2 linked regions of the Caenorhabditis elegans genome follow. The protein of the gene in region 2 purifies or fractionates together with the protein of the main gene of each other region. This does not show direct contact. Each region holds a gene or a part of one and is shown on either strand. Other genes may lie near its edges.

The links. Proteins that work in one complex are often made in the same cells at the same time.
Region 1: the proteins of usp-39 (region 2) and eef-1G fractionate together in Caenorhabditis elegans (co-fractionation; one large-scale study listed by BioGRID). This does not show direct contact.

The regions. Positions count from the first base shown.
Region 1 is NC_003283.11:10,963,808-10,968,433, reverse strand, and holds eef-1G (putative elongation factor 1-gamma), read right to left. Parts: upstream 2,716-4,626; 5' UTR 2,610-2,715; coding exon 2,601-2,609; intron 2,460-2,600; coding exon 2,337-2,459; coding exon of another isoform or gene 2,315-2,336; intron 2,270-2,314; coding exon 1,949-2,269; intron 1,905-1,948; coding exon 1,772-1,904; intron 1,737-1,771; exon of another isoform or gene 1,519-1,736; intron 1,446-1,518; coding exon 970-1,445; intron 945-969; exon of another isoform or gene 818-944; intron 779-817; coding exon 644-778; 3' UTR 512-643; downstream 1-511. Other genes in the region: dbd-16 (DB domain-containing protein), read left to right, coding at 10-249, 290-463; ctf-4 (WDHD1/CFT4 second beta-propeller domain-containing protein), read left to right, coding at 2,895-2,978, 3,025-3,536, 3,587-3,820, 3,869-3,980, 4,026-4,209, 4,254-4,567, 4,612-4,626. UniProt on the Caenorhabditis elegans protein: Probably plays a role in anchoring the complex to other cellular components.
Region 2 is NC_003280.10:2,563,600-2,568,357, reverse strand, and holds the start of usp-39 (Ubiquitin carboxyl-terminal hydrolase 39), read right to left. Parts: upstream 3,084-4,758; 5' UTR 3,083-3,083; coding exon 2,995-3,082; intron 2,943-2,994; coding exon 2,864-2,942; intron 2,816-2,863; coding exon 2,749-2,815; intron 1,369-2,748; coding exon 1,276-1,368; intron 1,231-1,275; coding exon 1,127-1,230; intron 1,077-1,126; coding exon 983-1,076; intron 1-982. Other genes in the region: nep-18 (Neprilysin), read left to right, coding at 4,681-4,758.

The sequences.
Region 1 (4,626 bases), on a different chromosome or scaffold from region 2:
AAATAACAGACACCGGATGAGCACTTTGCCACCTGCTGCTCACTTCTCGAAGTTGAATCATCTTGCACAGATTTATGCTCATATTCTACGTACTCATCAGAAGAAGTCAGTGCAGTGTTTCTTCAACAATCAGTGTGCCCAGTGACTGCAATTCAAAAGATTCATTTTTGTGCGGCACGAGGAACAAACCACACGGAATGCTGCTCCAAATCATTAGTTCCAATACACTGTCACTCTTTCTGCGATCAGGTTTGAGAGACATTTTACTGACACGCAATGATTTTTACAGAGTCAAGATAGTGATGTCAATAGCCTCTCAATCAACCATTTGCAATGTGTACAATATTTCAACGACATCAAATCTTGCTTTTTGGAACACGCAAATCAAGAATATTTCGAAGGACACATCGAGGACTATACGACGACCGAAAACGAAGAAACAAGCTTAGGAGCTAATTTTTAAATCTAAAATTATTTAGGAACACTTATAGACGAATAAATTCAATCTCAACTTGAAGAAGATATAATTTATTGAAGTGATACCGGGTCCTTTATAAACAATAGAAAACAATTTATTCTTTCCGACTCAGAGTAAACAACAGGATTAAATGGCAAATACACCGGGTTGTATGGAAACTCCAGTTTACTTGAAAATCTTTCCTTGGTTGAACTTCTTTCCTCCGAAGTCTCCCTCCCACATAAGATACTCGTTGACTTCCTTCTTGGTGGCATCGGACTTGGCGTCAAGCTTTGTCCAGGTGTACGATTCGTAATCAACCTGAAATATATTATTGTGAAAACTATCGAGAATTCATAAAATTGTTGCTTTCAGTTTAGAGGTAATTGCTCATTAAATAAACAACTCCAACGAGAAGAAGCACTTATATACGAAAAGTGTAACTCTGTATAAGTGTATCACGTATACAAATGACTACTCTTCGACATTCAAAATCGAGGAAATGGTCCTACCTGCCAGTCTGGGCTGAGTTCGAAGGCGAGCTTGTCACCCTTCCACACCCAGATTCCTGAGATGGTCGAATTGTTGTCGGTTCCGAAAAGAATCATGGAGGCGAAAGCATTCTTCTTCAACTTCTCCAGTCTTTGGTACATTCCATTGATAAGGTTACAGCTCATGAAGGCGAGAGTGAGATCTTCTGGGTATTTGTACTCGCACTTCCAGATGGACCAGTTGTCAGCATCGAAGTTCTCCCAGAAGTGTGGGATAGCCTTGGTAGCGGTGTCTTCGTTGGAATAAGATCTCTTGAAATTGTCAAGAACGAATGTTCCCTTTGGCATATCTTGGAATGGATCCTTGCTCTTCTCCTCCTTTGGTTCATCGTCCTCTGGCTGGGCAGCCGCAGCAGCTGGCTTGGCCTCTTTCTTTGGCTTCTCGGCCTTTGGAGCAGACTTGGCGACTTTAGCGCTGAGCTCAGTGAACTTGGCTTCTGTAAAATAAGAATAAAATTTAAACTGGGAATACAAAATCAGAAGTTTTTTTATAAAATTAGATTTCTTTTTAAATGTGTGGGACATAAACTAAGGTAACTTAGAATTGACTGCAGGACAACCCTGTAAACGACCAGTGCTAAATTTCCAACTCTCAGTCCCATGAAAAACGTTCCGAACAAAGCAAAAACAAAAACTGTTTCAAGCAAAGACGGTGTACATAAATCTTGATATTCCACCACTGTAACGCCTACTAATCGATTGACTAGTCTGCTGACTTCGCAGTGGAACAAAACAAATTCACACTAACAAAAAAGAAACTTACGGTTGAATTGAGCAACCGATGAGGCAAGGGAAACTTCTCCAAGAACCTCCTTAACAGCTGGCTGGTTAACAACGGTTCTGAACCAACGGGTGACGTTGACGATGGACTTTCTAGCGTTGGCATCAAGAACATACTGAAAATTAGGAGTGTATACATATAATCTGGGTCATAGTGTACTTGGAAAGCTGGGAGAAGATCAAGAGCAACGGAAACGTCGGCAAGAGAAAGACGTTCTCCAACCAAGTAGGTCTTTTTAACAAGAACACGATCGAGTACTTGGAGTTGTCCGTTGAGTTCATTCTTGTATTGTTCAACAGTCTTCTTGTCAAAGTTGGCTGCAGACACAGATGGAAGAACGTATCCGAGAACAGCTGGAAGAAGATAACCTTCTGCGAATTGAAGCCATTGGACAGTCTCGGCGTTAGCTGAGGTTCCAGTCAGGTGAAGTCCGATCGACTCAGCTCCGAAGAGAAGAGCATCTCCTTCAAATGCTGGGGTCTGAAATTCTGCACATTGATAGTTCACAGATCGTCAAATACTGACATCTAAATAAATTAAAACGTACAACTCCAAGTGGGAACTTGTCAGCTGGAGCAGCATCTCCGGCGAGGGTGACAGTCTTGTTGGCGAGCTTGGCAGCAATCAAAACCTTTTGGGTTCTGAAGTTGTCCTTGTTTCCATACAGTTTCTGCAAAATAAAAATCAATAATTGGTTAAATTTCGTCATTTCAAGGTTTGGCCTAATCATTTTTCAATGCAACGAACGGAAATCACGTTAACTATTCTTAACAGCACTGCAAATTTAATGAAATTAATTTTATAAACTTACTCCGGTCATGATGTCACCAACGAGTCGGAGAATCTAGTGAAGCGACGCTCAAAGAAGAGGCGCTTGAAAAGAGTGGTGTTCTTCAGAGGAAAAATACACTGAAAAGTCTGCGTATGTGCCCCTGGCAGAATGCCAGTACGCAAAACATAGGGGTTCTACGCAGTTCACTGGTCCATGGTTGCATTACACTTTTTTACCGCATTTCGGCGCCAAGAATCAGGTTTAAAATTTGCTCGCATTTTATTTATTTTTGATGAAAATAAATAATTTCACTCGTAATTCCATTGTTTTCAGATGAGCTTTACTAACGTTAAAAATTTGGAGAATATCGGCCTTCAAACTATCTGCATTGATGCTTCAGGAGAAGATACTGAAAATGTAGGATTTAAAACGATTTATAAACATATTTACCTGTTTTTTTCAGATTTACGTTTGTGATGCTGAACGAAATGTACTCAAGATCAATAAGAACGTGTTGCTGCAAGATGAAAAACCTGAAATAATCGAGATTCCCGATGCGACAACATCATCTATTGCTTGGTATGGAGAAAACATCTGTTTTGGTTACCGCAAGGTGGATTTCATTGTTGGATCCGAGCAGCAAATGGTGGGACGGGCGAAAAAGGGCAATTTCGAAGCAGGAGATATTATTGATCCTCTTGAATTCCAAATGGATGTCACAACGGTCGACGCAAACAGGGAAAATGTTATTGGAGGATCTAGCGATTATGCGGTTAAATGCACGAATATGAAAGATTTAGATGCAGAGCTGAAAACGAGAAGTCTTGAAGCTGAAGTTCTTTGTGTCAAACTGGATCCAAAAAATGAATTTGTGGCCGTTTCTACTGTGGATGGCAATGTGACTATTATAGACATTGATTCATTCTCGATTAAACACACACTGACCAAGGTTTTCCCAAGATTTGAAACAATTGAGTTAGTGTTTCATGTTATACTTCGGTTTTAAACAATGTCCTGTTTTTCAGTGTTTCACGACCTCGTATTCAACTCTCATGGTCAAAGGATGGTCAATGGCTGTTTGTTCCTTCAAAAGGATGTGTGAAATCGTACCGTCGAAATGGGTGGGAAGAATCTGGTGTATACCGTTTGAAAGATCATGCTTCTGTGGATTTTTCGGTTACTGCGCTTTCGCCGTGTGGGAAGTATCTTGCCTCCTCAACCATGGATAATCAAATTGCTGTTTGGAATAGTGATGAATTGTAAATTTAGGTAAATGTGTGAACTGATAAATAATACATTTTTTCCAGAGATATTGTGTGTTGTGAAAAATTCGTGAGAAATGCACCTGGTATCACTATCATCACTTCTATTGTTTTTTCTCCATTCTCCCCAAAAAAATTGATTGTCGCTGATTCAAATGTGAGTTTTTCCCTTTTCGAGCACTTTCAAGTAACAATATTTTAGAGAGGAATCTGTTTGTTTAATGTCTTCAAAGATGATTCATCTAACGAGAAGCCTGTTTCAAACAAAACTGAAGATGTTGCAGTTGATAGTGATGATGACGACTCAATCCTTTTGAATAGAACTTCACTCAAAAAAGATAGTTTATTCAATGAAGAAGCCATTGAAGAAGATGAAGATACCCGAAGTGAGGGATTGTAAATATAATTTCTCTTGATGTTTTAATTTTAGTGTCTTCCGATCTTGGAGCTATCAAACGACAATTCAATTATGGGAACCAAGATCTTGGAGGGCTTGAAGAATTCGGTTTTAAACTCGGTGAACCTGAGGAAATGCGACCGATGAGCTCGGACAGAAATTTGAATGATCCTCTCCCGCAAGTCTATTCTGATCCACCTGCTCCCCGAAAAGTTCTTATTCCTGAACGATTTGTATCTAACAGCTCTCCAATGGATCTCGACGCAACACAAAGGTTTCTGAAGTATAATCGATTCGGAATTATTCGCAGCTACGTTAACGAGGCAAATAAAGTTTCAACGATAGATGTAAGTTGTATAAGCTTGCTTCACAACAAGCGTTTTTTTTTCAGATCGAGTTTCACAAT
Region 2 (4,758 bases):
CTTAAAAAAAACCATTTTTTAAGATTAAAATTCCTAAAAAACAGGAATTTTTCGCTAAAAATACTTTTTTTTCGCTTTTTATATAAAAAATAGCTTTTAAACGGGGAAAAACACGTTTTTTTTCAATTTTCCAGCTAAATTTCCAATTTTTCGATAGAAATTCAATTTTTAACGCAAAAAGCACATTTTTAATCGAAAAATTGACAATTTTTCGTTAAAAATCACATTTTATGCAAAAATTCCGCAGAAAGACTGATTTTTTCGTGGAAAAAGCTTTTTTTCCCAATTTTCCAGCGGAAAAATCCAATTTTTCATTTAAAAAAATCGCCAGAAACAATTTTTGGAGTTTTTGGAAGAAAATTCTGTGATTTTCGAATTTTTTGAGTAGAAAATTGATGAAAAATTGGAATTTTTGAGAAAAAATCACGTCAAAAATCATATTTTTGCAGAAAAATGAGGATTTTCGGAATTTTGGGACTTTTTAAATCGATTTTCCGATTAAAATTGCATTTTTTACGGAAAAATCAGTCCAAAGCATATTATTTTTAATAAAAAAAATCAATTTTTTTCAGCAAAATTCTCCAAACTCGGTTTTTTTCGCTAAAAATCTAATTTTCGACCGAAAAATTGATCCAAAACCACGATTTTCGGGAAAATTCCAAAAAATTAGAATTTTTCCTAAAAAAAACCATTTTTTTTAAGATTAAAATTTTTAAAAACAGGAATTTTTCGCTAAAAATCCTTTTTTTTTCGCTTTTTGTATAAAAAATAGCTTTTAAACGGGAAAAAACACGTTTTTTCCAATTTTCCAGCTAAAAATTCCATTTTTTCCATAGAAATTCGATTTTTAACGCAAAACGCGCAGTTTTAATCGAAAAATTGACAAATTTTCGTTAAAAATTGCATTTAGCGTAGAAAAAGCCTTTTTTGACCAATTTTTCGCCCAGAAATCCAATTTTCGACACAAAAAATCGCCAAAAACCTGAAAATATTTGCCGCAAACCATGCAGGCGTACACATTTTGATGGGAAAGTGAAACGGAGCACTGTTTCTCGAAATCAAAGTCCAAAACTGATCTGAAAACCGGGATTTTTACAGAAAATTTCCCAAATTTCCTGCAAAAAACCTATCAATAGTGTCCAAATACGGGCACATTCGACTTTTTTTCTCCGCTTGCGCCTTTTTCATTGACCAAACCGGATCGTCGTCGTGCTCATCGTGCTTTCCGCTCTGAAAATTTGAGGATTTTCAGTGGAAATTCGGAATTTTTTCAACTTTAAGCTCCTCTTCAATAATTCGCTGCCTCTCGAGCTCTCTGGCGGTGAGCTGGCGCGGCTTTTCCGGAGCCGGTGGAGTTGTATCGCGGATCTGAAGATTTTTATTGATTTTATTGAAAAAAAAATGCAATTTTAATCGGAAAATCGATTTAAAAAGTCCCAAAATTCCGAAAAATCCTCATTTTTTTCCCGAAAAAATCGGTCTTTCTGCGGAATTTTTGCATAAAATGTGATTTTTATCGAAAAATTGTCAATTTTGCGTTAAAAAATGGAATTTCTACGGAAAAATTGGAAATTTTTAGCTGGAAAATTGGGAAAAAACGGGTTTTTTCCGTTTAAAAGCTATTTTTTATACAAAAAGCGAAAAAAAAAAGGATTTTTAGCGAAAAATTCCTATTATTTTAAGGAATTTTAGTCTTAAAAAATGGTTTTTTTGAAGGAAAAATTCGAATTTTTTGGAATTTTCCCGAAAATTGTGGTTTTGGATCAATTTTTCGGTCGAAAATTAGATTTTTAGCGAAAAAAACCGAGTTTGGAGAACTTTGCTGAAAAAAATTGATTTTTTTTATTAAAAATAATATGCTTTGGACTGATTTTTCCGTAAAAAATGCAATTTTAATCGGAAAATCGATTTAAAAAGTCCCAAAATTCCGAAAAATCCTCATTTTTTCCCGAAATTTTCAATTTTCTACCCAAAAATTCGAAAATCACAGAATTTCCTTCCAAAAACTCTAAAAATTGTTTCTGGCAATTTATTTGTGTCGAAAATTGGATTTTTCAGCCGAAAAATTGGTCAAAAAAAAGCTTTTTCTACGAAAAAATCGGTCTTTCTGCGGAATTTTTGCATAAAATGTGATTTTTATCGAAAAATTGTCAATTTTGCGTTAAAAATGGAATTTCTACGGAAAAATTGAAATTTTCCGTTTGAAAGCTACACTCAAAATAATAAAACTGCGTGGCGTGTACTGCAGAAAACCTAATATTTAGGCCCCGCCTTTTAATCGTCCACTCACGGGGAAAAGACAAAAATAGGGGAGGGGGGACAGCTCGCCACGCCAACAGTGAAAAAAATAGTGTGGTGCGCGGACCTCGAATGATGTCGGCGGCTGATATTGCCTGGGGTACCGCTTTTTGCGTTTTCCCCGTGAGTGGACGATTAAAAGGCGGGGCCTAAATATTAGGTTTTCTGCAGTACACGCCACGCAGTTTTATTATTTTGAGTGTATTTTATACGAGAAACCTTTTTTTTTTTTTGGACAATTCTTCCGAAAAATGCTATTTTTAGCGAAAAATTCCTGTTTTTTAATGGTTTTTTAAATGGAAAAATTCGAATTTTTTGGAATTTTCCCGAAAATCGTGGTTTTGGATCAATTTTTCGGTGAAAATTAGATTTTTAGCGAAAAAAAACCGAGTTTGGAGAATTTTACTGAAAAAATCGATTTTTTCGAGATTTTTCCAATTTTCAATGTACCTCGCCATCCTCTTCCTCTTGCTCTTGCTTTTCCTCTTTTTTATCCCGTCTCGAGCGCTTTGGGGACCTAAAAATCGATAAATTACCACATTTTTCGAATAAATTCCAATTTTACCTTGATCTAGATCTCGATCGGCTCCTATTCCTCTTCCTATCCCTATCGTGAGTCCTTTTCTCGGTTTTTCTATCGTCTCCTGCAAAAAAAACCCCGCTTTTTTCCAGAAAAATCGATTAAAATCCACCAACTCGAACGTTTCTTGTCTTTTTCCGAATCTTCCTGCGTTGACCGCCGGCGTTCCACCTTTTCGGGAGATTTTGGCTCTTCGTTTGTCATTCTGAAAGTTTGAAACCTTAAAAATTGAATTTTTGAGCAAAAAACAGAATATTTCATCGAAAAAATCACTGAAATCCGAAGAAAAACGCTAAAAACCGAAGAAAATAAAAAAAAAACCATTAAAAAAAATAAATTCGAATATTGCAAAAGTACGCAAACACCGTCACGCCATCTTGCGGACTTTTGTCGTGTACTCCTCTCGGACAAGTGGAATTAATATAATTTTATTAATATATTTTTCAGAAGAGAAAAAACAAGGAAAAATGCGATTTTAATGGGATTTAAATTCAAATATTCAGAAAAAAAAGTGAAAATCGTATAAAAATCAATTCTGGCAACCTGAAAGAGATGAAAATGTGTGCACAAACCTGTAAATCTCCAAAAAATAAAAGAAACTCGAAAAATAAATAAATAGGTCATAGAAAACACTCTGAAATCCATTATTTTGCAGATCTGGAAAAAAATTCCTGATTTCCGGTCCAATTTCCAGTGTTTGAACCAGGGGTGGGCGGCAATTTCCGCTCGGCAAATTGATTTGTCGACAAATCGGCAAATCGGCAAATTGCCGGTTTGCCGATTTGCCGGAAATTTTCAATTTCTGCAATTATCATGACGGTGTTTCAAGACGCTGGAAATTTCCCAATTCCGAGTTCAAATTCGAATTCCCCGCGAAATTTCAGGCGGAAAATCGAAAACTAGAGCTTTCTAGCTCAATTTAAAAATTTCCCGGGTTACGGTAGCATCAAAAGTACGCAAACACCGACTACAGTACCCCCAGAAACACCGAATTTCACGCGATTTTCGAATTTTGAGCTGAAAATTTGGGTTTAGGCTAAAGAAATGGCGAGGAATTCGAATTCGGCAATGAAAAATCGAGAATTTTTCGTTCAGGCTTTGGAAAATCTAGGCCGACTCAAGGCGCAACGCGACCGCAAAAATTTCAATTTCAACCGATACTAGTCGATATGAATGTCAAAATTTGCGAAATTTTCCGGAGAGTTCGAATTTTAAACCTAAATTTGCTGAAATCGGCTGAAAATTTGAGTTTCACTCGAAATTTTAAACAAATTTTCAATCTCTGAACCTTTTCCTCTGAAAAATTGAGAAATAACATTCAAAAACAATTGAACTTAATGTCCTTTTGGCCGTCATAAAAGTTCCATTATAAAATAGCACAAAACCTGACGAAAGGACGGCGGGAAAGACAGAAAACGAATAAAAATTCCCATAAAAATTTTGGTTTTAGACCCCCCTTTTCCCCGTGTTGTTCGATTTTTTCACTTTTTGGAAAAAATTTATTTTTCAAACAAATTGGCAGAAATTTGGTTCATTTCTACTATTTTTTATCGATTTTCTATTATTATGAAGTGAGTTTTCTGAGAAAAATTTGAATTTCGCGCCAATCTGCCAATCAAAAAAAAAATAGGTCAAATTACAGTAATCCCTACCAAATCCAGCTTCTCACCACCGACCAAAGCCGTGAGGAGACCCAAAGAAACCAAGAAGCGGCGCTGGAAAATGCAAAGGAGAAAATCCAAAAGGTTACGGTATCCGAAAAGCGGTTCCACCTGACAGTTATCGTCTTATCACTGGTAATCATGGCCCTGATGATAGCCCTTTGGGCCAGTTTATGGCCCAGTGGGAGCTCAAATGCTCCGAATGGGAGCCCAGAGACT